Arabidopsis thaliana: one gene and its partners. The protein of the gene in region 1 interacts with the protein of each later gene in a pairwise test. Each region holds a gene or a part of one and is shown in the gene's direction. Other genes may lie near its edges.

Evidence for each region.
Region 2: the proteins of ESR1 (region 1) and BIM1 interact in binary tests that used the Arabidopsis thaliana proteins (3 or more experiments, as listed by UniProt).
Region 3: the proteins of ESR1 (region 1) and PYL12 interact in binary tests that used the Arabidopsis thaliana proteins (3 or more experiments, as listed by UniProt).

What each region holds. Positions count from the first base shown.
Region 1 is NC_003070.9:4,425,867-4,433,044, forward strand, and holds ESR1 (Integrase-type DNA-binding superfamily protein), read left to right. Parts: upstream 1-3,851; 5' UTR 3,852-3,924; coding exon 3,925-4,911; 3' UTR 4,912-5,099; downstream 5,100-7,178. UniProt on the Arabidopsis thaliana protein: Regulates gene expression patterns in meristems and thus modulates organ development. Required for correct embryo patterning and cotyledon organogenesis. Modulates auxin signaling pathway in early embryos.
Region 2 is NC_003076.8:2,603,456-2,613,440, reverse strand, and holds BIM1 (basic helix-loop-helix (bHLH) DNA-binding superfamily protein), read left to right. Parts: upstream 1-3,190; 5' UTR 3,191-3,346; exon of another isoform or gene 3,347-3,526; 5' UTR 3,527-3,869; coding exon 3,870-3,906; intron 3,907-4,037; coding exon 4,038-4,139; intron 4,140-4,555; coding exon 4,556-4,957; intron 4,958-5,058; coding exon 5,059-5,161; intron 5,162-5,245; coding exon 5,246-5,382; intron 5,383-5,467; coding exon 5,468-5,582; intron 5,583-5,679; coding exon 5,680-5,749; intron 5,750-5,846; coding exon 5,847-5,942; intron 5,943-6,053; coding exon 6,054-6,391; intron 6,392-6,492; coding exon 6,493-6,604; intron 6,605-6,696; coding exon 6,697-6,786; 3' UTR 6,787-7,423; downstream 7,424-9,985. UniProt on the Arabidopsis thaliana protein: Positive brassinosteroid-signaling protein. Transcription factor that bind specifically to the DNA sequence 5'-CANNTG-3'(E box). Can bind individually to the promoter as a homodimer or synergistically as a heterodimer with BZR2/BES1.
Region 3 is NC_003076.8:18,603,514-18,610,022, reverse strand, and holds PYL12 (PYR1-like 12), read left to right. Parts: upstream 1-2,911; 5' UTR 2,912-2,979; coding exon 2,980-3,459; 3' UTR 3,460-3,625; downstream 3,626-6,509. Other genes in the region: AT5G45880 (Pollen Ole e 1 allergen and extensin family protein), read left to right, coding at 1-89; SCRL27 (SCR-like 27), read left to right, coding at 1,112-1,178, 1,352-1,566; PYL11 (PYR1-like 11), read left to right, coding at 5,437-5,922.

The sequences.
Region 1 (7,178 bases):
AAAAGATGTAACATGAGAGGAAAGGCCTTTGTGAAAAACTTTTTTCCATCAACTTTATGTGTATAGCCCAATCAAATTTCGGGTAATTATATAACTACAAGGAAAAAAATGAAAAAAGTCACAAAATAACTAATAAAATATCTTATCTGTATACATTTTGACAAAATAGTGTAACTAAGTCATTGAATGTTCTCATTACACCAAATCCATATCCATCCATGTTGTTAAACCATGGTGGTTTTGGTCTTTACAAGTTTGTCAAATTGAACTTTAATTTTTTCCAACCAAACAAATTTGAATACATATATAACATTTAAAAAATTATAGAGCATATAAGTTTAAGAAAATAATTAAATTTATTCCAACGACACTTGTGGGACAAAAGCTGTTGAAGAACATCTAGTTACAGAAAAAAGGAATGATGGATCTTGGGACTAGGGTTTCTACATTAATGCACCAATAATATATAATAATATTAAGAGTAATAGTAATAAAAGAGTAGTCATTTATTATCTGCCAGTTTCTTGTTTGCTAATGGTTTAATGGGCGTACAATGTATATGCATACATATGAATCTGACCCTAAGGTATTAGAGGTAGAGAGATTAGGAGACAATTTGATCAGAGCCAAAAAGTACTACTGATCTTACTCTAGTTTGGCAGATCATTTTGCTCCTCTTCTCTTTCTATTATTTTTCCTAATCTGAATTATTGTACACTTTTAATAGATGTTTCTTTTATTATTATTGTTAGTTAGTACTTCAAAAAAATGAAATAGTTACAGCAGATCATTTTTTTGTTTGTTTTACTGATCATATTCATACGTAATTTGGTGTTGAAAAGTAAGCTTATAATTTGGTGTTGAAAAGTTAGCTTATCATAAGAACAATAATCAATGTGTTAATTAGTTATATAGATTAGGACCCAACTCTAGTGTAATTACTCTTCAAACAGTAAGTTTGGTCTATCTTCTCAATAGTCTAAACAAGACGTGAGCTTATATTATAATAAAGAGCATTACACCAGATTTTCCAATAATCCAGAAGTTTCAGTTTCAATCCGAAATCTAGATAATTTATTCAAGAGTGTGGATGCATTTAATGTTATTTGGCCCAAATTTCTCAGTATATTTGAGAGAAGTAAAAATATTTATATTAAGCAATGAATTATAAGTTCTTAAAATATAAAGATAGTCAAATCACAAAGTAATATTATGTAACGCATGGGTGCTCAGGGTCCACATCATAGGGGGCAAAATGATGAGAATGATCTTTTCTTATGTCCCAAAAGGTCATTCACTTTCAACGGGATTTGTTTTTTTAACCTATTTTGTATCACACTTTTATCTCGAAAGATTTTATTTTATTTTTTACTACTTGACGGTTTTTTTTCCTGTTTTTATTAAAGCAAGAAGGTTGATTGATTGAACTCAGAATTTGGAGTTAGAATTCTTTTTGATGTTGATGAAAGATCATTATTAAAGAAATACATTTTATAATTTAGTCCTTTTTAGCAGAATTTGAGTTAGAATTCTTTTTGATGTTGATGAAGGATTATTGTTCTTGGAAGAATGAATAATTCGAAGAAGTGAAATCCGTTTTTCAAGGGATAAAATTGATTGATTGAGTTTTGGAGTCTTGGTATTTGACACTCTCTTTCTTTTGTCGTTACAATATCTTCTTTTTCTCGACCCACCATTTACTCTGTCTTTCAAAATCTATCAAATCATACTTTTGATTAGTTACTATACTATAGTCATTTATACCAACATAGTTCATACAAAAAAGCAACACTTAACAAGAAAGAAAAAATATAAGGGGATTAAAAATAGAGTGGTGAAGCAACGACTCCAACTCTCCCATTGATTAGAATACATCCTTTTCCATCTTTACGGATTTATAAAGATTTTGGTTATTTATAGATACAAATTAACAGTATAAAAACAGTTATCATTTTTTCTTTAGAAAATAAATAATTTTTTATAATATGGTCCATGTTTTCATTAAAAATTATTTGATAAAAATATGGTTATATTACAGTTTTACTAATATATTTCTATCTACATATAAAATTTAGATAAAATTTGATTTCTTTGCTGAGTTTGTTTGGTTGAACTAAAGTCATGTTAAGTTTGATTCGTTTGGTTGTGAGATATGTAGATTGAGTACGGTTTGACTATAAATAATTGGTTCATTTCTTGCTTTCACTTAATTGATTAGGTTGGATATATAATTCACATGTCCAACCCTAATCGAAACCGAAGTATTTCAAGTTGATATTATGATAGATACACTAAAATTATCTCAGAACACGAGCTATCGTAATAATTTACTTTGTGACATCGGAAATCACAAAGACATTTGCATAGGACTGAGCTGGAAACCAAAAGTCTTTAGTTCCCAAAATTATGAAGAATTTCTCAAATTTTTAATAGAAAATAGATAAGTTCACCAATGAACTCTTTTGTTGTTTTTACCATATAGTAATAACTATACTTAACAATTATTATAGTATATATTAACTCAACCTACCCCCCCAGACAAAATCTTATATCAACCATGGATACTGTTAGTTTGGTAATAAAAGATCTTGCCTATGGTTTCACATAGAGTTGTAACATTTCAACATTAGACAAAATGTTATCAGTTTAAGTTCATATTATGACTATGCACATTTTAAATTAAAACATTTTAGTTTGCTTGTAAAATTACAGAATTAACGCAGGGGTTTTAATTGCTGCTTATTGTCTCATTCAGTCATTTGCCGACCAACCAACATAAATCTCAATATAATGAGTTCATGACGTCATGGTCATGGTAGATGGTTTTATAATAATACCTAAAAAATCTCAAATGATGGTAGTAATTAAACACATATGACGCAAACGCAGCCATTACAACGCTATTTCAAAACTTATTTAAACAATTAGTAATACTTACCAAAGCTTTTGAAAGATACTCCAGTAAACTTGTCAAATTCTTATATTGTTCTAATAGACTTTATAATAAAACGTAAGCATCGGGCGATATGGCATGATTATTTCATGACAGAAGAAATAAATAATTTTAACAAAAAAAAAGACAGAAGCAATAAATAAAAAACAAGCTTCTGATACATGAAATACATATATGTCTCATACATACGTTTAGACAAACCTGAAATGTCCTCTTCGTACAATAATATCCACAAGTGTCAGATTTACACTGAAGTGTTGCTATGCATATCTTTTGTTCCATACTTTTCTTACAAAATCATTTATTTTCTTCTCGATATCACCGATTGGTGTATGTTGTAATCATACATTAACATTAACAAACAAAGATACTTTTTCAAGGATTATTCTAATTGGCAGTTTTAGAAATAATGGAATTATCCTTTACTAATCATACAGAAATAATGTAAATATGTTTAGCATGTGTGAAATGACTGTTGGTCGATTTTTAACTTTAATAAATAAAAAAGCAATAAGAACGTGGTTTTATTTCGCCACTCCCACTTGCATCGTCATCATCAAAGAAAAACACTAATGTCTAGACCAAAGATTTAAAACATCTACCCCATATATATATGATGAACAAGATAGCAAGTAAATTTAAATGTAAAATTAAATTTTAGTTTGCTAAGATTAATATACAAAAGAAGTATTATCAATTTATCAGTTATTAATCAAATCAAGTTTTAAGTGCAACTCAAAAGTTTCCATGCTTATATAGTTATTTGTATACTACTATACTGTATGTGCAAGAAAAGCATTTATACTCTTCGCCATATATTTCAAACTTCACAAAATTTAATTAAATTTTTATACCATTTATGTACCTATAAATAGATAGAAGAAGCTCCATCTCTTTCAAACTATCAACCACCAAAATCTTTCACATTACACCTTCCTTTTGTCCTCAAACCAAAACCCTAGAAACCAAAAATGGAAAAAGCCTTGAGAAACTTCACCGAATCTACCCACTCACCAGACCCTAATCCTCTCACAAAATTCTTCACTGAACCTACAGCCTCACCTGTTAGCCGCAACCGCAAACTGTCTTCAAAAGATACCACTGTAACCATCGCCGGAGCTGGCAGCAGCACGACGAGGTACCGCGGCGTACGCCGGAGGCCGTGGGGACGATACGCGGCGGAGATACGTGACCCAATGTCGAAGGAGAGACGTTGGCTCGGAACATTTGACACGGCGGAACAAGCCGCTTGTGCTTACGACTCTGCGGCTCGTGCCTTTCGTGGAGCAAAGGCTCGTACTAATTTTACTTATCCGACAGCTGTCATTATGCCTGAACCAAGGTTTTCTTTTTCCAACAAGAAATCTTCGCCGTCTGCTCGTTGTCCTCTTCCTTCTCTACCGTTAGATTCCTCTACCCAAAACTTTTACGGTGCACCGGCAGCGCAGAGGATCTATAATACACAGTCTATCTTCTTACGCGACGCCTCGTGTTCCTCTCGTAAAACGACTCCGTATAATAACTCTTTCAACGGCTCATCATCTTCTTACTCAGCATCGAAAACGGCATGCGTTTCTTATTCCGAAAACGAAAACAACGAGTCGTTTTTCCCGGAAGAATCTTCTGATACTGGTCTATTACAAGAGGTCGTTCAAGAGTTCTTGAAGAAAAATCGCGGCGTTCCTCCTTCTCCACCAACACCACCGCCGGTGACTAGCCATCATGACAACTCTGGTTATTTCTCTAATCTCACTATATACTCTGAAAATATGGTTCAAGAGACTAAGGAGACTTTGTCGTCGAAACTAGATCGCTACGGGAATTTTCAAGCTAATGACGACGGCGTAAGAGCCGTCGCAGACGGTGGTTTATCGTTGGGATCAAACGAGTGGGGGTATCAAGAAATGTTGATGTACGGAACTCAGTTAGGCTGTACTTGCCGAAGATCGTGGGGATAGCTAGATATTCATCATGATTATGTTTTGAGTTTTGGTACTATCGACTTAGTTTAAAGTTGCTACCTTTCCCAATGTTGGATATTAACTAAATTATGTTTTAAGTTGAATTTGCTAATAGGATTTCATAATTATAATCAAGTTTATAATATATTTTCGTAGCTAATTAAAGTTTATATCCACGTATTCTGACACATTACGCGCTTAATGATTTAAGTTGTATCATAATTTATAATCACATGGTGGAACTTGTTAAGAAGTTACGTAACTCTTAAACAGCTTTAAGCCTCTAACATAGTCGTAATAGCAAGAAATAATATATATGATGAGAGATGAGTAAAATAGGAAAATTCCTTTGTTCAGCAATGTTGGTATCGACCTATTAAAAGTGAATCTGCAGATGAAAAAGTGATATCCTTACATTTATTTGTTTGTAGTCTGAAAAGTGGACTAACGTTCGTACAAAAGGCAGTGTTTGTCTCTGTCTTCTCCAACTTTTCGTGCTCTCTTCATTCTATCACCAAAGGAAAAGCTGAACTACTAAATAACAAAGGTCAAGAACTTTAATATTGATTGATGTCAAAAAAATTAGTAATAAGTACTGATTTTTTCACATGTTGATTAATAAGTACTGAATTTGCAGAAATAAACTAAAATATATGCTTTGACCAAAAAAAAAAAACTAAAATATATGCTTTTTCAAAAAAACTAAAACTAAAATATATGCAGAATGAGTTTAATTCATTGCGAATATATGATGAAATACAAAAAAAAAATTGCGTTTTTTTTTGTATCAACTGTACCCACTACTCATGTTCGCAATTCCGTATGTTTCGTGGTTATTGCGTTGATGTAACATGTATATCCGTCGATGAAATTAGTAGTATACGAAAATTGAAAACCACAAAAATGGTACCAAAGAAAATGAACACGTACGCACACACTAATCATATGTTTGTAATTTAATCTACTGTCTCATATAAGTAGACAACTTAGATATTCCTGTTGGATGCTAACTTTAGAAATCTCAACGAATTAAAGTGAAATCATAATAGGGGATACATTATTAACAGGGTGAATGTCAAATTGTTTCAAGATGAAGGCTCAAGGCTAGGGGTTTAGGGGTATTTGTAGTCTTGTAGAAACATAAAGTTAATATTCATTAGGCAATTGTCAAAACCATATTGTTCCTTTTCTATTTTTTGATATATATACCTTGTAAAAATATTCCACATCAAAAATCCGATTCGCTCAAAAAAAACTCTGATCGTATGATTCTAGTTAAATAAATAAATGGATGAAAGCATCTATTGCATTGTCAATTTCAACACAGCGAAAGCACGGAACTTCAATTGTTGAACTCTATTCGAACTCCAAGCTTAGTAATAGCAAAATTTCTCTCCATACAGTAGTAGACATGGGCGCAAAAAGTTAGGCCCAGTTTTTAATCAGGCCCATTATGAGATTTACATCTGAGAAGTGGAAAGTTTGTATTCTTGGTTTATGTACTTCACTTGAATTGCTCTTTTCCACAACTCCACACATTATTATCTACGTCTGCTAATTGCTGTGACATAACTTTATTATCATCTATGATCCTGAATATTTAGTGGTTGATTACTACAGAGTATTGTTGTTAAACTCGATGTATGAAAGTGCAGTGCATTTCTTAACAAAATTTAAGTTTACCTTGTATTTCTTCTCTTCTTTAATCTTCCCAAAATATACTTTTGTGAATGGTGATTTAAAAGCTTTTGAGACCACTCAAATGATAAAGTGGGGCTTGTGACGTTTCAGACATTGAAAACCTCATAATATATTAGTGGGAGACCTTAAAAAATCAAGTCAACGCCGACTAATCCAACACAGCGTCACACGTTAACGTATGCAATACAACATTAGGATATTTTTATCACGCATCGTTGTTTACTTTATGTTATGTAAAAAATGTTAGAAATCAAATCGAATTACAAAACGTGTAGTTTATCTTTTCTCAAAAAGCCTCCAAGTCGTCGTTTTCATGTACACACACATACTCCACTCGTTCTCATAATTCCGATCAAAATATTATCATCATTCATCCATACGTATAACCCAATAATTTATTCTTATTGAAATTGAAAAATCAAATTTTCCTTACCGGGTGATATCTTACATTTAACTATTTAAGCAATCATAAACAGAGAAAGAAACTAACATACTCAATTCACTATCAAGAGTGGAAAAAATCGTACAAGTAGACAAACACTTATCTTATTTGTCCAAGTAAG
Region 2 (9,985 bases), on another chromosome or scaffold:
GCATCATGAACACTTTTTTTTTTTTTGTATATTTATCATAGATCATAGATGGTACATAAAAACTGCAACATTCAGAAATTATTTTTTATTTTATTTTTGTTTTGTTTTGTTTGTCATCATAACTCATTTCCAGTACAAGAATTAAATTAGTTGCACGTTGAAAAAAAGAGTTAAAAAACAATATATAGATCAGTGATCTGGTTCAGTGCATTTAATGGTTAGAATTTCTCTTTTTTCATATCAAAATTATACGGTCCGTTATTTTCAAAGTACATAGTTTTTGTTCTTGTTTTCCCCTTTGCTAACAAAGCATTTTAACAGCTTTTGTTTTAAGATAGCTTTTATATCTATAATTAGCAAATTAATTTATATTTTGAATAAAAAATAGTGAAAACGGGATAGCGTAAAAAAGAAACGTGGGACCCGCAATAATCGAGAGGTGTGAGTTGGCCACGTGATGGATGGGGGAGGCTGTGAGGTAGGCAGCCAAAAATACCCCAAAAGGTTTCGTTATCACGTGATACGGCGCGATTTACGCGGCGCAACTGCCACGTGTCCTCTTAGATCCAAAGTCTCGTACGTAGCCTTCTCCTTGGTTAAAAACTTCATATTTAATTTCAATGTATCATAATTAGTTGTTTAATCTCGTGTTTTAACCCTAAGTCACATGATATCTAGATAGATAAACTATTTGTTAACTGATCCCTAAGAGGATTCCTGTGCAAATGTACAGAGGAATGTCCGCATTACAAATACATTTGTTTTTCTTCAAGTCCAGCTTCTTATTCTTCTTTTCTAATTGCTTTATGATTATTTAATCTGTTACTATACTATTAAGAAAATAACAATGATTAGAGACAACTAATAGTCCTCTTTATAAGGAAAAAAGAAGTAAAGAAGACAGCTAATTCAGATGAGATGCTCTCCCACACACTCTTTTGTGTATGCATAAAGTTTCTGTAATTAATGTTTTATTTAAAAACACTTTAACAACAAAATAAATAAATTAAGGGTTTATATTTTTTTAATTAAACTTCTGAAAAGAGAATGTTTGATAAACTGTAATTCTGTAAGAAATCAACGTAGAGAGCATTGATATCTAACATTAAAACCAAAAAAAAAAAAATGTCATTGATATATAGTTATATACTTATATGCAAAGAGATGTTTAATATTGTTCACCCTTAAAATATTATCAAATCTTGATATTAAAACAGTTGTTAGCGTGTGCATGAACCTGGTGAGTAGTTGTGATGAGATCTCGCATTGATTTACTTCAAATTGGATTAAATATGTAAAAATATGTTTAAGAAATCTTGTGACTCCGCGAATGATTTTCTCCTATACATTATTCTAATTAATTCCATGGATATGTTTTATAATATGCGTAGGAAATTAAAGAAAATATGTTTTGTATTATATAAGTTATTTTGATCTTAATCTTTTGAAGTTGAAACCTACTTGATATGCTTCTTCTTATTTTGTTAACTAACTCAAGTTGAATGATTATTTATTGATTGAATTACGTAAGACGGGAAGAACATGATGTGCCCAACCGAACCACGAATGGTTAAGGATAGGTCGGTTTGTGGCATATCAATAAACAGTTTATGAGACTGAATGGAAACCTTCTTTCTTCGATCGACTAAAACCCTTAGCCTTCCAAGTTTCTAGTCAAGAAGTATTGTTACTAAATTGCCCTTGATGTTAATGTTTTCGAAAATCTATTTATGTTTCTACAGTGTTTCTCTCACGTGAGTTGCAGAGTCAGTTCACGTGGTCCCACTACATCATGAAAACGACGTCACACTAACCTCTTATTCGCCTTTCACTTGAATTGACCATTTCGTTTTTATTTACTTTCCTTGATTTCTTTCTTTCTTCTCATCTAAACGTGTAAAAATCTTAACAATTCCATTTGCTTTTTTGTTTTTGATTTTAATGTATCTAACCAATTACTTGTGCTCTAGAGAAACCGAATCTCGAATAACAATAATACATTTCATCAAAGAACCACGAGATTGCGAGTGATTTTAAATCAATATAATACAATTCATGGGGTTAATATAAAATACAGAGAATAAAGCGTGTTTAAGCACAACCTAACAACTCACGAGACAAAGTGGAAGGCATGTGGGGATGTGTAATTGTTTTTGCTCTTTCCCTATTTTGTACAATTTTTCACTTCATGTGATCCAACACTATTTAGCTATAGTTCCTTTCTCACTATCATCTCCATCTCTGTTTTCAATTTATTATTTCTATCTTCAGATTAAACTCATGACTACTGGAAAGATGTAGTACTCAGAAACTAACTAGATTGTAAGCATTAGGGGAGGGCAATAAATATTACTCGTAAGTAAATTTAATTCTTAACTACTGAAAATCTTAAGTAATTTAATCAAGTATATACGTACTTGCAAAAACTTGAAAGCCATAACTATTTTCGCTTGAATACAAATGGACTAAAGATATTTTATCATTTTATTTTTGGTTTTAAGAGATGACTTTTTTCGAATATATAATTCAAATTATATACAGTACTAGACATATGTTAGTTTAGTAAATGCTAACAAGACTTTTAAAATAAGTACTGTAATTTGTAAGTCGTCTATTTGGTTTACTTATAAGTTAGTGATTTTGTAACAAGTGGCATTCAACTAAATATAAAAATGCGCTTAGCTCACATGATCAGGTTCTTAACTATGGGTTTTAGACAATTTGTTAAAGGCGGAAGAGCTGTCTTTGTTCCACCTAATGTCACATACATTACATATATCTCCACTCACACAAATACATAGACGCATACACGTACGAACAAAATCATACTTGTCCCCCTATATTCCATCATCTATAGCAGAATTTCTACTACTAAATTTACTATTAAATTGGTAATTGTTTGCAGCCAAGCCTAGCTATCAATTAGTAGTACGTATCTTTGTCAAACTTACCAATTACCTTCCAATTTACCAATTAAACAAGTCGTCTAGTTATGCGCATTCAGTACACACGAACATAGACCACGTAATACAGTGGTCTGATTACATTATTTACATGGAGGTTTTTATAAGCATGATTTTCTAAACGGAGACACAAAATCTTCTTTATTTTATTTTTCCTTTTCGCACTGTTCATTTAGGTTTGGTGGTATTAGGCTATAGAAGAATGTACGATGACTTGAATATCAGATACATGAGATTCTTAATTAATCATACATATCTTACCATTTTAATTAGTTAACTGATTTCCTTTTGATTGCATTTACTTCGACGCATGATAGTAGTCGGCGTAATTTCAACAGTACCTTGACACGCCAAAAGCTTCACGTAATTTGCTGTCGAAGAAGGTACGCTTCTTAGCTCAAATCTAATCCATTCGTGTTCTTTAGAGATTTGACTTGGATTCTAGTTTTTGTATCTCCATGTTCATTGGTTGACTTGAATTATGCGAAATTGAGTTGGTTTGAGCTATGAATTCCGCTGAATTATGGTTATTCTCTTGAATTTCTACCCAATTCTGATGACAGATCTATCGATTCCACGAATTTGGTGACTTCTGCCGATTCTCCCGTTTGAATTCTGTGGAATTCGCTGAGAAAAGTTGCGGCGGAGGCTGATTTAGGTTAAATCGAGCAGAATTTGACCAAATTCGAGGATTTTTATCGGTAAAAAGATACAGAGAAAGCATAATTCAGCAACTTCAGAGCTCAATTCCGCTTCTTCAACCATCGAAAACCACAATATCTCTTGAATCAGCTGCTACAAGTCGCAGATCTGAGCTGCTAGCCAATTTTTGCGATAATTCCCGCGCACAGATTAGTAATAGAATAATTTAAAAAGAATTCAAAAACCGTCGAAGCTCTGTCGTTCATGGAGCTTCCTCAACCTCGTCCCTTCAAAACCCAAGGTAAACACCATTATCAGATATTATTGTTACCAATTCCTTTATTTTATTTTAAAACAGAGTGTTTAGTTTCTACAAGATTCATAATTTTAAATTTATGTATTTTTTTGAATTTTGATATATATATTAAGAAGAATTTCGCACAGGGAGAAAACCAACACATGATTTTTTATCGCTCTGCAGTCATTCAACCGTCCACCCAGATCCAAAGCCAACACCACCACCTTCTTCTCAAGGTATTTTTTTTTACCATTTTACCCTTTTTTCTTCTTTAAGATTCTCTTAAAAGGGGTCACGTTTTTTTCGCGCGTGCATCTGATCTGACTTTAAGACGAATCATGGATCAAAATGTTGCTATTTTGTTGGGTCCTAATGGGCCCATCTGTGTTTAAAGCCCATGGAATTTTGGGACCGTTTTTTTCTTTCTTTTTCGTCTACACATGTCGTTAAACCTTGCCTTCGATTAAATAAATATCTTTCAACCCTCATGATGTTGATCCCTAGAATTGCATCACATAAATAACAAAATGTTGTTAATTACTATAAGCGTTTAAATGCATACAACTTGATGTATAAGAAAATGTGTATTATCTAGGGATTTACTTCTCTAACATATAGTTTATGTTTTTAATTTTGATGGTACGTGAAGCAGGTAGTCACTTGAAAACCCATGATTTTCTTCAACCGTTAGAATGTGTTGGTGCTAAAGAAGACGTAAGTAGGATTAACTCTACCACTACAGCGTCCGAGAAGCCACCGCCCCCTGCTCCACCTCCACCGTTGCAGCACGTGCTTCCCGGTGGTATAGGGACTTATACGATTAGCCCCATTCCTTACTTCCATCATCATCATCAGAGAATTCCTAAGCCGGAGTTGTCACCACCAATGATGTTCAATGCTAATGAGAGAAACGTTTTGGATGAGAATTCTAACTCTAATTGCAGCTCGTACGCCGCTGCATCAAGCGGGTTCACTCTGTGGGATGAATCTGCTTCTGGGAAGAAGGGACAGACAAGGAAGGAGAATAGTGTTGGGGAGAGAGTAAACATGAGAGGTAACAAGAAAACTTGAATCGTGATGTTTATTTAGACTAGTTTTAAAGTAGTATTTAGAAATCAATGGAATGATGAAATATAAGTTTTTTTGAATGTGTAGCTGATGTTGCAGCAACTGTGGGACAATGGCCAGTGGCGGAGAGACGGTCCCAGTCTTTGACAAACAACCATATGAGCGGTTTCAGTTCTCTCTCTTCCTCTCAGTTAGTCTCATATCTTCTCTTTTTTATATAACTCGGTCTATGGACTTTAAAGAGTGATCAACTAAAGTTTTACTTTGGTTGCAGAGGGTCTGTGCTTAAGAGCCAGAGCTTCATGGACATGATAAGGTCAGCAAAAGGAAGTTCACAGGAAGATGATTTAGATGATGAAGAAGATTTTATCATGAAGAAAGAAAGCTCCTCGACTAGCCAGAGCCATAGAGGTTTGTATTGTCCGAGATTCCACCTATATGATATCTAAAGTCTAAACAGTAACAGCTTAGGATCTGATTGATTGCTTCTTTACAGTGGATTTGAGGGTAAAAGCAGATGTGAGAGGCTCTCCTAACGATCAAAAGCTGAACACACCTAGGTCTAAACATTCTGCTACAGAGCAACGGAGAAGGAGCAAGATCAATGATAGGTAAGTCCTGAATATGTAGCAAAAGCCACCAGAATTGGTTATATAGCTTAGCAGAGTGGAGATACTAATCAAACATTGTTAATGGATCCCTCTGCAGATTTCAGATGTTGAGACAACTAATACCTAACAGCGACCAAAAGCGGGATAAGGCCTCCTTCTTACTAGAGGTATAACTATACTCTTTTGGCCGAAAATTTTGTGACAGTAAGATTCAATCACATCTGCTCCTAATCTCCAATTTTTTTTTTTGACAACTTCATACAGGTTATCGAGTATATTCAATTCTTACAAGAGAAAGCAGACAAGTATGTGACCTCTTACCAAGGATGGAATCACGAACCTGCGAAGCTATTGAATTGGGTAAATATAATCTCACATTTTCCGACCATACTTCATTTTTATTCCCCGGGTTGGAAACTGAAAACAAACAAACCATGTAATGTTAACCCGTGTGATCCATTTACATTATAGCAGAGTAACAACAACCAACAGCTAGTACCTGAAGGAGTTGCTTTTGCTCCAAAATTGGAAGAAGAGAAAAACAACATTCCGGTTTCGGTCCTTGCAACTGCACAAGGTGTTGTTATTGATCATCCAACAACCGCGACGACCTCTCCATTTCCATTGTCGATTCAAAGCAACAGTTTTTTCTCTCCTGTGATTGCGGGTAATCCCGTACCCCAGTTCCACGCAAGAGTCGCATCATCAGAGGCTGTAGAGCCAAGTCCGAGTTCCCGGAGTCAAAAAGAAGAAGAAGATGAGGAAGTTCTTGAGGGTAACATCAGAATTTCAAGTGTTTACTCACAAGGGTAAAACTAAAAAACTCTCTTTTGAATTTTGATCTTGCAACAGTTAAGTAAAAGTAAAAAATTATTAACCTTTTATACATTTACTTTTGTGTGTGGAGCAGATTAGTGAAAACACTGAGAGAAGCATTGGAGAATTCAGGAGTGGACTTAACGAAAGCAAGCATCTCCGTTGAAATCGAGCTCGCTAAACAATCCTCGTCTTCTTCCTTCAAGGTATCTTTTTCTTTACTTACGTTTGATTCAATTCAAACACATTTTCATGAGTTGGATCTTGATAGTTTATAGTTTTGTTCACATCTCGATAGGATCATGAAGTTCGTGAACCGGTTTCTCGAACCAGAAACGACAATGTCAAGCAAACTCGGAAACCAAAACGGCTCAAGACGGGACAGTAGAAGTTATAAAAACAAAACCCAAACACACAATCCGGTAAAAGTTAAACACCAAAATTGATTCCTCTGTTTTTTTCTTTAAATCATTTTATCTCAAAAAGGGATTATAATTTATTATTATAGTTATATCTTTGATTTTTTTCTTTTGTACATCCGAAATCCTGTTATATATATCTCGTGGGTCCATAATCGTATGAGACCTAAGAAGACTAGGGCGACCCGGTTATGCTAACCGCATTTTAGAACATACTCTTTTGAGGAATATATCGTTAAGGAAGGCTTTCAAAGTTTTCTGGAAGCGTCCAGTGTTAAGTGAAAACATTTTTCACTCTCTTATATACTTGATCATCTCACACTTTTTATATTTGTTTCTTCCTCTTACTTTGTTCTATGGTTTTCAATGTAATACTAGATATCTTTTATGTATTTGACTAAACCAAAGCGCATGAACGATTTTGAAAAAGAAAAAGAGAAACACACTTAATTATAATGCCAATCAAAAGCCTGTATGACCCAACTCTCTAGGACAAAGTCTGGAGCACGGCAAAAAGATTAAATCAAGTGTACTTTAGCAACAAGAGCTATCTTGTACTATTATTTATGCAATGTTGTTAGCAAAATAATCAAATGTTATGTGGGGTATTATAAGATATGCCATTGAAAAATATATCAACTAGCATTTAATTACTTTTATTTAAAATGATGAAAATCATATCTTCTATATATTCAACTTCAATACTTGATTTTCCAAACTATTGAAGTAAACGAGATCCCATATATAATGGGATAAAACAACAAACATCAATTACGTTCTTTTAACCATAATTTATATCCATAAACAACAAACCGCCTGTATTTCCTCGGACACGAAGAGGATTTGACACGGGAAGCTTCGTCTTCTCCCTCCTCGTCGTCGCCTCCAAAACTCAGGAGTTTCTTCTTCAGAGACGCGGTGGTAGCATCTTTTACCGTGGAGTTTCGTCGCCGTCGTTGTCTTTATCAATTATGATCTTTCTCGAACTAGAGCTTTTACAGTTAGGGTTTGAAACTTTGACTGGAATTAGAGCAAACTTTGGTCGTGATTGTAGTATTTTTTTAGTTTGGAATGTTGTTTATTATACTAGATATTAATCTGCAGTATACCGCGGACCTATATTTTTATTAAATAAAAAATAATTGAATAATTTTTAGGATGATTTAATAAATTTATGTTATTGTTTGATTTAAATGTATAATTCACCGCGAGACGAAATTTTATAACTCAAATTTTAAAGTTTTAAATTATATTTGTTTATTTTGTTAAATGTTTAATATTGTATAATTGTATATTGATTGTTGTTTCTCAGATTTCACCCGTAGTACACCATCCCATATTAATATCGAATCAAACCCGTCAATTCTAGGATTTCACCCGTGGTAGTATTTAATTGTATAATTATATTTTAATTGTCATCGTAGGATTTCACTCCTAATTCTATCGCAAATTATTATCAACCCAAACCAGTCAATTCTAAAATATCACCCGTAGTACACCATCCCATATTAATATCGAATCAAACCCGTCAATTCTAGGATTTCACCCGTGGTAGTATTTAATTGTATAATTATATTTTAATTGTCATTATCAGATTTCACTCCTAATTCTATCGTAAATTATTATCAACCCAAACCAATCAATTCTAAAATATCACCCGTAGTACACCATCCCATATTAATATCGATTCAAACTCGTCAATTATAGGATTTCACTCGTGGTAGTATTTAATTGTATAATTATATTTTGATTGTCATTCTAGGATTTAACTCCTAGTTCTATTGTAAATTCTTATCAACCCAAACAGTCAATTATAAAATTTCACCCGTAGTATAAAGTTTAAATATTTATAATGTTTAAATTTCTTATAAAAGAATCAAAATGTGTTTTAAAAAAATTAAAGTTTTAAGTTTTTTTTTTTTAATATTGTTAATTTTGTTTAGTGTTTAAGATTATATAATTATATTATGATTGTTATTATATGTTTTTTTCCATAGCATACTATCCCATGTTATTATCCACTCAAACCCGTCACACCATATAACCTCGTCCCGTGAAATTAAACACAAATTTGTCATTTTATTATAAATTTCAAATATTTATAAAATTAGAAACTTCAAAAAAGATTAATATTGACCCAAACTTCATCATTGAATTTTGAGTGTTATATCTAAGATTTCTCTCGCAGTATATCGTCCCGTATTAATATTTTTTATATTGTTTAAATTTCTTGTAATATTTAATTTATAATTTTTTAAACTTTTTAAAGTTTCAATTTTTTAAAATAAATAACCCTAGTAAACAAACCATTTTAATTTTGGACACCTCATAAATCAAGTTTCATGCTCATTCGTAATCGAAATCATTTTGGTCCTTTTTATAGTATGGCTCTTGACCATTGTCCAATTTTTTTAAGCGATATGGGACATTCTAAAATCGTAATTATTATCCACCCAAACCCGTCCTACCATATAACCCAGTCCCGTGAAATTAAACATAATTTTGTCATTTTCTTATAAATTTCAATATTATAAAATTTGAAACTTAAAAAAAATACAATATCGACCCAAAATTCATCATTGAATTTTGATTGTTATATTTAAGATTTTTCCTGTAATATATCGTCTCGTATTAATATATTTTTTATATATTTATAATGTTTAAATTTCTTGTAAAATTCAATTTATAATTTTTAAAACTTTATAAGTTTTAAAATTATAAATATTTAAAGCATTTTTTAAAGATATACTTTATAAAAAGTTTTTAAAATTATAATATTTAACTTTTGATAAAGTTATAATATTTATAATTTCTTGAAACATTTTAAAGTTTCAATTCTTTAAAATAAAAAATGCGAGTAAAATCGGATAACTATTTTAATTTTGGACGCCTGATAAATCAAGGTTCCTGCTCATTCGTAATCAGAATTATTTTGGTCCTTTTATAATATGGGTCTGAACCATTGTCCAATTTTTCTAAGCGATGTGGGACATTGTACACATATTATTTCTTCATAGGTTGAATAATATATGTCCGTTTTAAAAAATTTGAATTACATCATATTCAGAAAAAAATATAATATTTTATTAACTATATATATTTTATATAAATTCAAAATAAATAAAGTATAAGATCAAATAAAATTGAAAGAAGAATTATATATTTATG
Region 3 (6,509 bases), on another chromosome or scaffold:
ACCCTCTCGGTTTCATGGTTCAGACTCCATTGGCTGATTGTCCTGCTGCTTTCAAGGAGCTTGGTATTGTCCCTGACGTAACATTCTAAGCGAAAAGAAAAAAAAGAAAAAAACATATAACATGAGAGATTTTCTATTTGCTTAACTTTATCAAGTTTATAACCATATAATGAATTAATATCATCATTAATTACCTTTTCACGTTTTGGTTTTGTTTGATTTGATGTGTGAGTGATATTTTGTTGTTCTATAGTAAAAAGAATGTAATTTGGTTACACACGATCGAGGAACTTATATATTACTATTAGTTTATTACAAAATAAAAAATAAATCAATGAGTAGAAGTTTACTGTTGAATATTGGATTTAGATCGAAAACCAAATTTAGAAGGGAAAGAGATCTGCTCGGACTCCCAAGTCCTCTAATTTTTTATATATATCTCTTGATAATTCATGCATGTGCTCATATATATGTATATAACACATTACACAACTTAACAAGGGATATAATATTTTTGGATATTCTTGTCACTTAACCTCTAAAATCATTCTCATTGATCATAAAAATATAGGGTATTTAAATATAAAGATGAATTAATGTTATAATTAAAAAGAATTTAAAGAATTAAGACCCATCCCTCCATGTATATTCTTTTAACATTTTTAATATTAAAATATTAAATACTTTAGTTTCAAGACACTCAAAAAAGTGGTTCACCAATGAGGATGCTCTAAAGCCTCTGAATGTTTATCAAACTTCCAAATGTAACATTGCTGTCTTTTCCTCGTTTCTTGGCTATCATATTGGTAATTTTTGAAGTTTTGTTAAATTTAAGTTAGGTGTAAAATAAATTTATGAAAATGTTGCATCCATTATGTCCTGTAATCAGAACGCAGACAAGCTCCTCCATCCAATTATTTTTCCTTTTAAGATTAAACAGCTAATTTTGTAGATCTGGTTGACTTGATCTTCTTACATGTCCCTTTTCTTTTCCCCTAATTTAGTTTAAATAACTATTTTTGGTGTGGGCAGTTTCCGTTAAAGAGAAGTAACACACTTGTTACAAGAGAGAGGTAACAAAGACAGTAGCTTTTACCATTTTTGTTAAATCATGAAGTCTACTACCTTGTTCATGGTTTCTTGTGTTCTCATATTTTGTGTTCTTAGTCACGTGAGAGGTACGTAATGTACACTATTGTTCTTTCGATTTAGATTAGTATCCTCGGTTTAAAAGACAAAAAAAAACTTACTGCATTATCAATTTTTATATATTAAATAATCATTTTATTTACAATTTTGACATTATTTTTGTTGTGTGTATGTATGATTGATAAAAATAAAAAACGAATAGAGGTGAAATCGGTGGAGACTAAGGCCAAGAGAGTGAAGAAGGTGTGCGAAAAGGCACAAGTATTCGAACAAAATTGTGGGTGGGACGGAAACAAAACTTGCATAAGAGGCTTTAATAAAATCAAAGAATACCCTTTTCATTGCGAGTGTGGCATTTATGATGCACCCAATAGCAGACGTATTTGCAAATGTAAATTTCCATATTCTCCTTGCTAAATTTTCATGTAGTTTTTTTTTAAATGTTAAAAAAAATTTCATGTAGTTCCAGAACCATAGTTTATCTATCTAGAAATTAATAAATTAAATGTTATTTAAGGTTTAACTAACCAGTAAGATGAACCCTTTTACTTCCTTCCATGTTATTGTGAAACATGTCTGAAGGAGTTAATCTCCAACGCCATGAATTAATCATTCCCGGTTACTCCATTTCTAAAACTCTTTATAAATATGTATTGATATAAGCCAAATTATATGTCGTACGATCTTGTAGTCTTTATCATACATTTCAGAAAAAATATAACTATAGATTAAAACCTAGCTAGCCGGAATAGTTTTTAATCTATAACATTCGATTTAATTTAACTATTCAAACTTCCTCTTCTTTCTTTACATTATCTCTCATAAGAACTCAATAGTAGATTGCAATTAAAAGTCTTGCTGAAACCAACTTAATTTCTTATATTGACTAAACTCGTAAATGTCTCCTTGATTAATTTTTCGATAATTTTTTTTTTCTTTTGACTAAAGAAACAAAATCGTCAGAGATTTTAGAATGTGAGATTGTGATTGTGATTTTGGCTCTTTTTGCTAGTCTATATCCGTGAATTTAAATTTGGAGATGGAAAAAGAAAAGTTATATTAACAGAAATCACATTTTGGTTTAATTTTTATATCGGTTTTGGTTCGATTATCGGCTACCCTGAAGGTTAAAAACTAATGTAAAAGAGTGATGCTAGTTTGGGCTTAAAATGGATCTATAAATTTTAGGCTCATCTGGCCTCTTTCTGAGCTTGCCATTTTGGATTAAGTCTAAGTTCTAATCTCTAACTTCTCATCTCTGTTCTTATTTGTTTCCTTTCCTTTTTGTCTACTTTCTTTTCTTTTAACATCTGTCAACTATTTGGTTCTTATAATACACTATAAATGTGTGATTAATAAGTGTGATTCGTGTAAACCAACGTGGAACCATTATTTGCCACTATTTTTAACACAGTCCATGTCATATAACCCGCCAACCACAACCGCAAATTGTTCCTTACAGTATTTTGTATACAATTTGCTATGCTACACTGTTTGATACTTACTCAGGCCGTTAAAGTATTTTGGTATTTATGTGCATGTATAAAATATCACAATGGACTTAAACTAAATATTTTATTCCAAAGTTAAATGTCATATAGAATATATAAATAAATTTTCGTTGTTACTTGTTATGCGTTCAGAATTTCATAATTTTAGTATTTCTTTCAGTCGGCCTTGTTCTAAAGATATTTCTCATCTTTTTGTCGACCTATAGATTTTTCTCATATATAAATACTAAAAAAAACTTGCCACTACGTAAAATATTTGAAGACAACAACCACAACTGTCGGTAGGAAAACAAAATTGTGAAACACCAAACAAACACGTATGAAAACATCTCAAGAACAGCATGTATGCGGTTCGACAGTAGTACAAACTATCAATGCTCCGTTACCTCTAGTATGGTCGATCCTACGTCGATTTGATAACCCAAAAACATTTAAACATTTCGTAAAAACTTGTAAACTACGCTCCGGCGATGGAGGAGAAGGCTCTGTCCGTGAAGTCACGGTGGTTTCCGATCTTCCGGCGAGTTTTAGCCTAGAAAGATTAGATGAACTTGACGATGAGTCTCATGTGATGGTGATCAGCATTATTGGTGGTGATCATCGTTTGGTTAATTACCAGTCGAAAACTACGGTGTTTGTGGCGGCGGAGGAGGAGAAGACAGTGGTTGTGGAGAGTTATGTGGTGGATGTGCCGGAAGGAAATACTGAGGAAGAAACTACGTTGTTTGCTGATACTATCGTTGGGTGTAATCTTAGGTCATTGGCTAAGTTATCGGAGAAGATGATGGAGCTCACTTAAAGTTGTAAAAGTCGTGGGATTGTAATAATAGTATTAGTTTTTAGAATTTAAAAGTAAAACTCTTACATTTTTACGAGGTTTTGGATATATAGCAACTAGCAAAATATGCTTATTCAACTGGGAATAATATAGGTATAATTATGTATTTATATGTCTTGTGAAATTAAAAATAATTGTTTAAGTTTCTTTCTTAAATGTCATTATTCTGTTTGCCCAAAAGTATATACAATTTTAGTTTGAGTCCATTTCTAAACTCTCCTTTGTAAATGTATTGATATAAGCCAAATTTTGAAATCATTCAAGTTAAAAAGTTAAAATCATTTTTTTTTCTTTTGATTAAAACTCTTGTTGTTGTAACAGGAATTGACTTGTGAGTACTAACGTGTCCAGCGAAATAGCTTTCTAAAGCAGACTCTGATCGTTCAGTGTCTTATACCTTCTCAGTTGAAACTTGATGCCAAAGAGCGTCTTTTAGCATGTGCAAGTGAAGAAATTAAACATAGTTCGCTTATAAAATAAAAAGTATATTTTATGATTCATTTTTTTCTTGCACAAAAAAAAAATACAAAAAGTTGAAATACAATGGTAATTAATGTAATTAACCCTTCGTCTCCAACAGCTTCTTTTTAAAGAGGAAAAATAGTTTAAATTCTGTTATATTTGGCTGTAGCTCAATTGTTCAACTTCTACTTATTTTTACACTTTTTCTCACAAGAAACTAATTACATACTAGTAGAATGAAGAGCCATTTCAAACTATTTTTACTTGAAGGTAATATTTAAAAAACATTTTGCTAATATGTTGGTAAACAATTAAAAAAAAAAATAACCTCACTTATACATATTTACTTAAGATTTTCTTAAACAAAATTAGGATTGTTCGATTATCCTACTTACATATGCTAAAATACGGCCTTGAATCTTGATAGATTGCATGCAAAAGTCTTACCGAAATTATTTTCATCTCTAATCATATTGATCGACTGAACTCGTAAACGTTTTATTCTGTTTAACTTTATTTTATTGTGTGTCTATTTTTATTTTTGATCAGATTAAAATATAAGAGTTTGAAAATGTGAGATTGCGATTACGATCGAAGGTTCAATTATTTGGTCCTTTTCAAATTGTTAACAAAAGAAAAAGGGACCCTATAAAAGTTAAACAGAAATACAATTTGGTTAAGCTTATCGGTTTCCGGTTCAATTATCTTTACCTTCTGAAGGAGTAAGTGATGCTATTTTGGGCTTCAAATGGATCTTTAATCTGTAGGCTCATTGGGCCTGTTCTCAACTTGGCGTTTAAAGATATGTCCTTCCCTCTCTCATCTGTTCTTGTTTGTTTTTTTTTTGTTTGTTTTTTTTCATTTAGTCAAGTTTTTATCAACAAAAACAATGTCTATAAATGTGTGGTAAATAAGTGTGGTTCGTATGAACGAAATCGAAAACGTGGATCTATTACATGCCACTAGTTTTTCCACAATCCATGTCATAACCCTCCAAATTTAACCGAAATACATTCTTCATTACAATGACGTTACAAAACAAATGTGCATTCTAAAGTTTACAATTTATTTAAATATATTTTACGGACAAATATGTAGCCATATGCCTATATATTGTCACCATATGCTACACATCCTACACTGATTAATCAGTCTTTCTTTTAAAGCATTTTTTTGGTTTTATGTGCATATTACAATGTATTCTTTTAAAATATATATACACTTTAAACTTCTTTTTATCATCTTATGTTATACAAATCAACAAAGTTTTTCTTACTTGATATTACATTCATATTTTGCAGAAAACACCAAAAAATGACAACTCATATTTTTTTTTAGTCGGCATTGTTCTTAGATATTTCTCGTATAAATACTCGAACACTAATGCATGGAAGCTTCAAAAAGGTTTGAAGATACTGTCACACAAAACAACGGTCGATAAAAGGACAATTTCGTCAAAAAAACAGCAATACACAAATGGAAACTTCTCAAAAATATCATACGTGCGGTTCCACACTAGTACAAACTATAGATGCTCCACTATCTCTAGTTTGGTCAATTCTACGTCGGTTTGATAACCCTCAAGCCTACAAACAATTCGTGAAAACGTGCAATCTAAGCTCCGGCGATGGAGGAGAAGGCTCCGTCCGTGAAGTGACGGTGGTTTCCGGTCTTCCAGCGGAGTTCAGCCGAGAGAGATTAGATGAACTTGACGATGAGTCTCATGTGATGATGATTAGCATTATAGGTGGTGATCATCGTTTGGTTAATTACCGGTCGAAAACGATGGCGTTTGTGGCGGCGGATACGGAGGAGAAGACGGTGGTGGTGGAGAGTTATGTGGTGGATGTGCCGGAAGGAAATAGTGAGGAGGAAACGACGTCTTTTGCTGATACAATCGTTGGGTTTAATCTTAAGTCATTGGCTAAGCTCTCGGAGAGGGTGGCTCATCTAAAGTTGTAATTTTTAGATTATAGTTTTAGTTTTTAAGAATTATAATCAGGTTCAACTAGCAATAGTCATGGTCGATGGGAAATAAGTAAGTATATGTATAATATTAAATATAAGGAGTATTTGTTAGTAACTTAATTATTAGTAAGTTAGTTAGTATCTTACGTTTGTTCTTTTATTTCATTTTAAAAAAAAGTTTCTGTAATTTTGATGTGGTAGAAATCTAGAAATAGATTCTTGGTTGGCTCAGAGCTTTTGAATGATAGGCAATGGATCTTCCACGATATCTAAGAGCAGTTGTCATGCGAAAGACAATCACTAGTTCTACCCTGTCCTTTTCACCTCCGCAAATTTAGGGTTCTTTGTTATCCGGTTAATGAAACATGCTCAACATTTAAAAGTCTATAGTCTAGTACATTAAATGTAGGGGTCGGTGACTTTTTTTTTTGGTCCAAGCCTCCAAAGTTTTTAAAAAAACACTCCATTAAGACGTTGGTCCTTTTTTTCTACATAAAAACAAAATTGCCGCTGGTGAATTGAATGAACATTTACAGACAGTTTTGAAGAGTTTGGTATTTAATAAATTATATTAAATGACA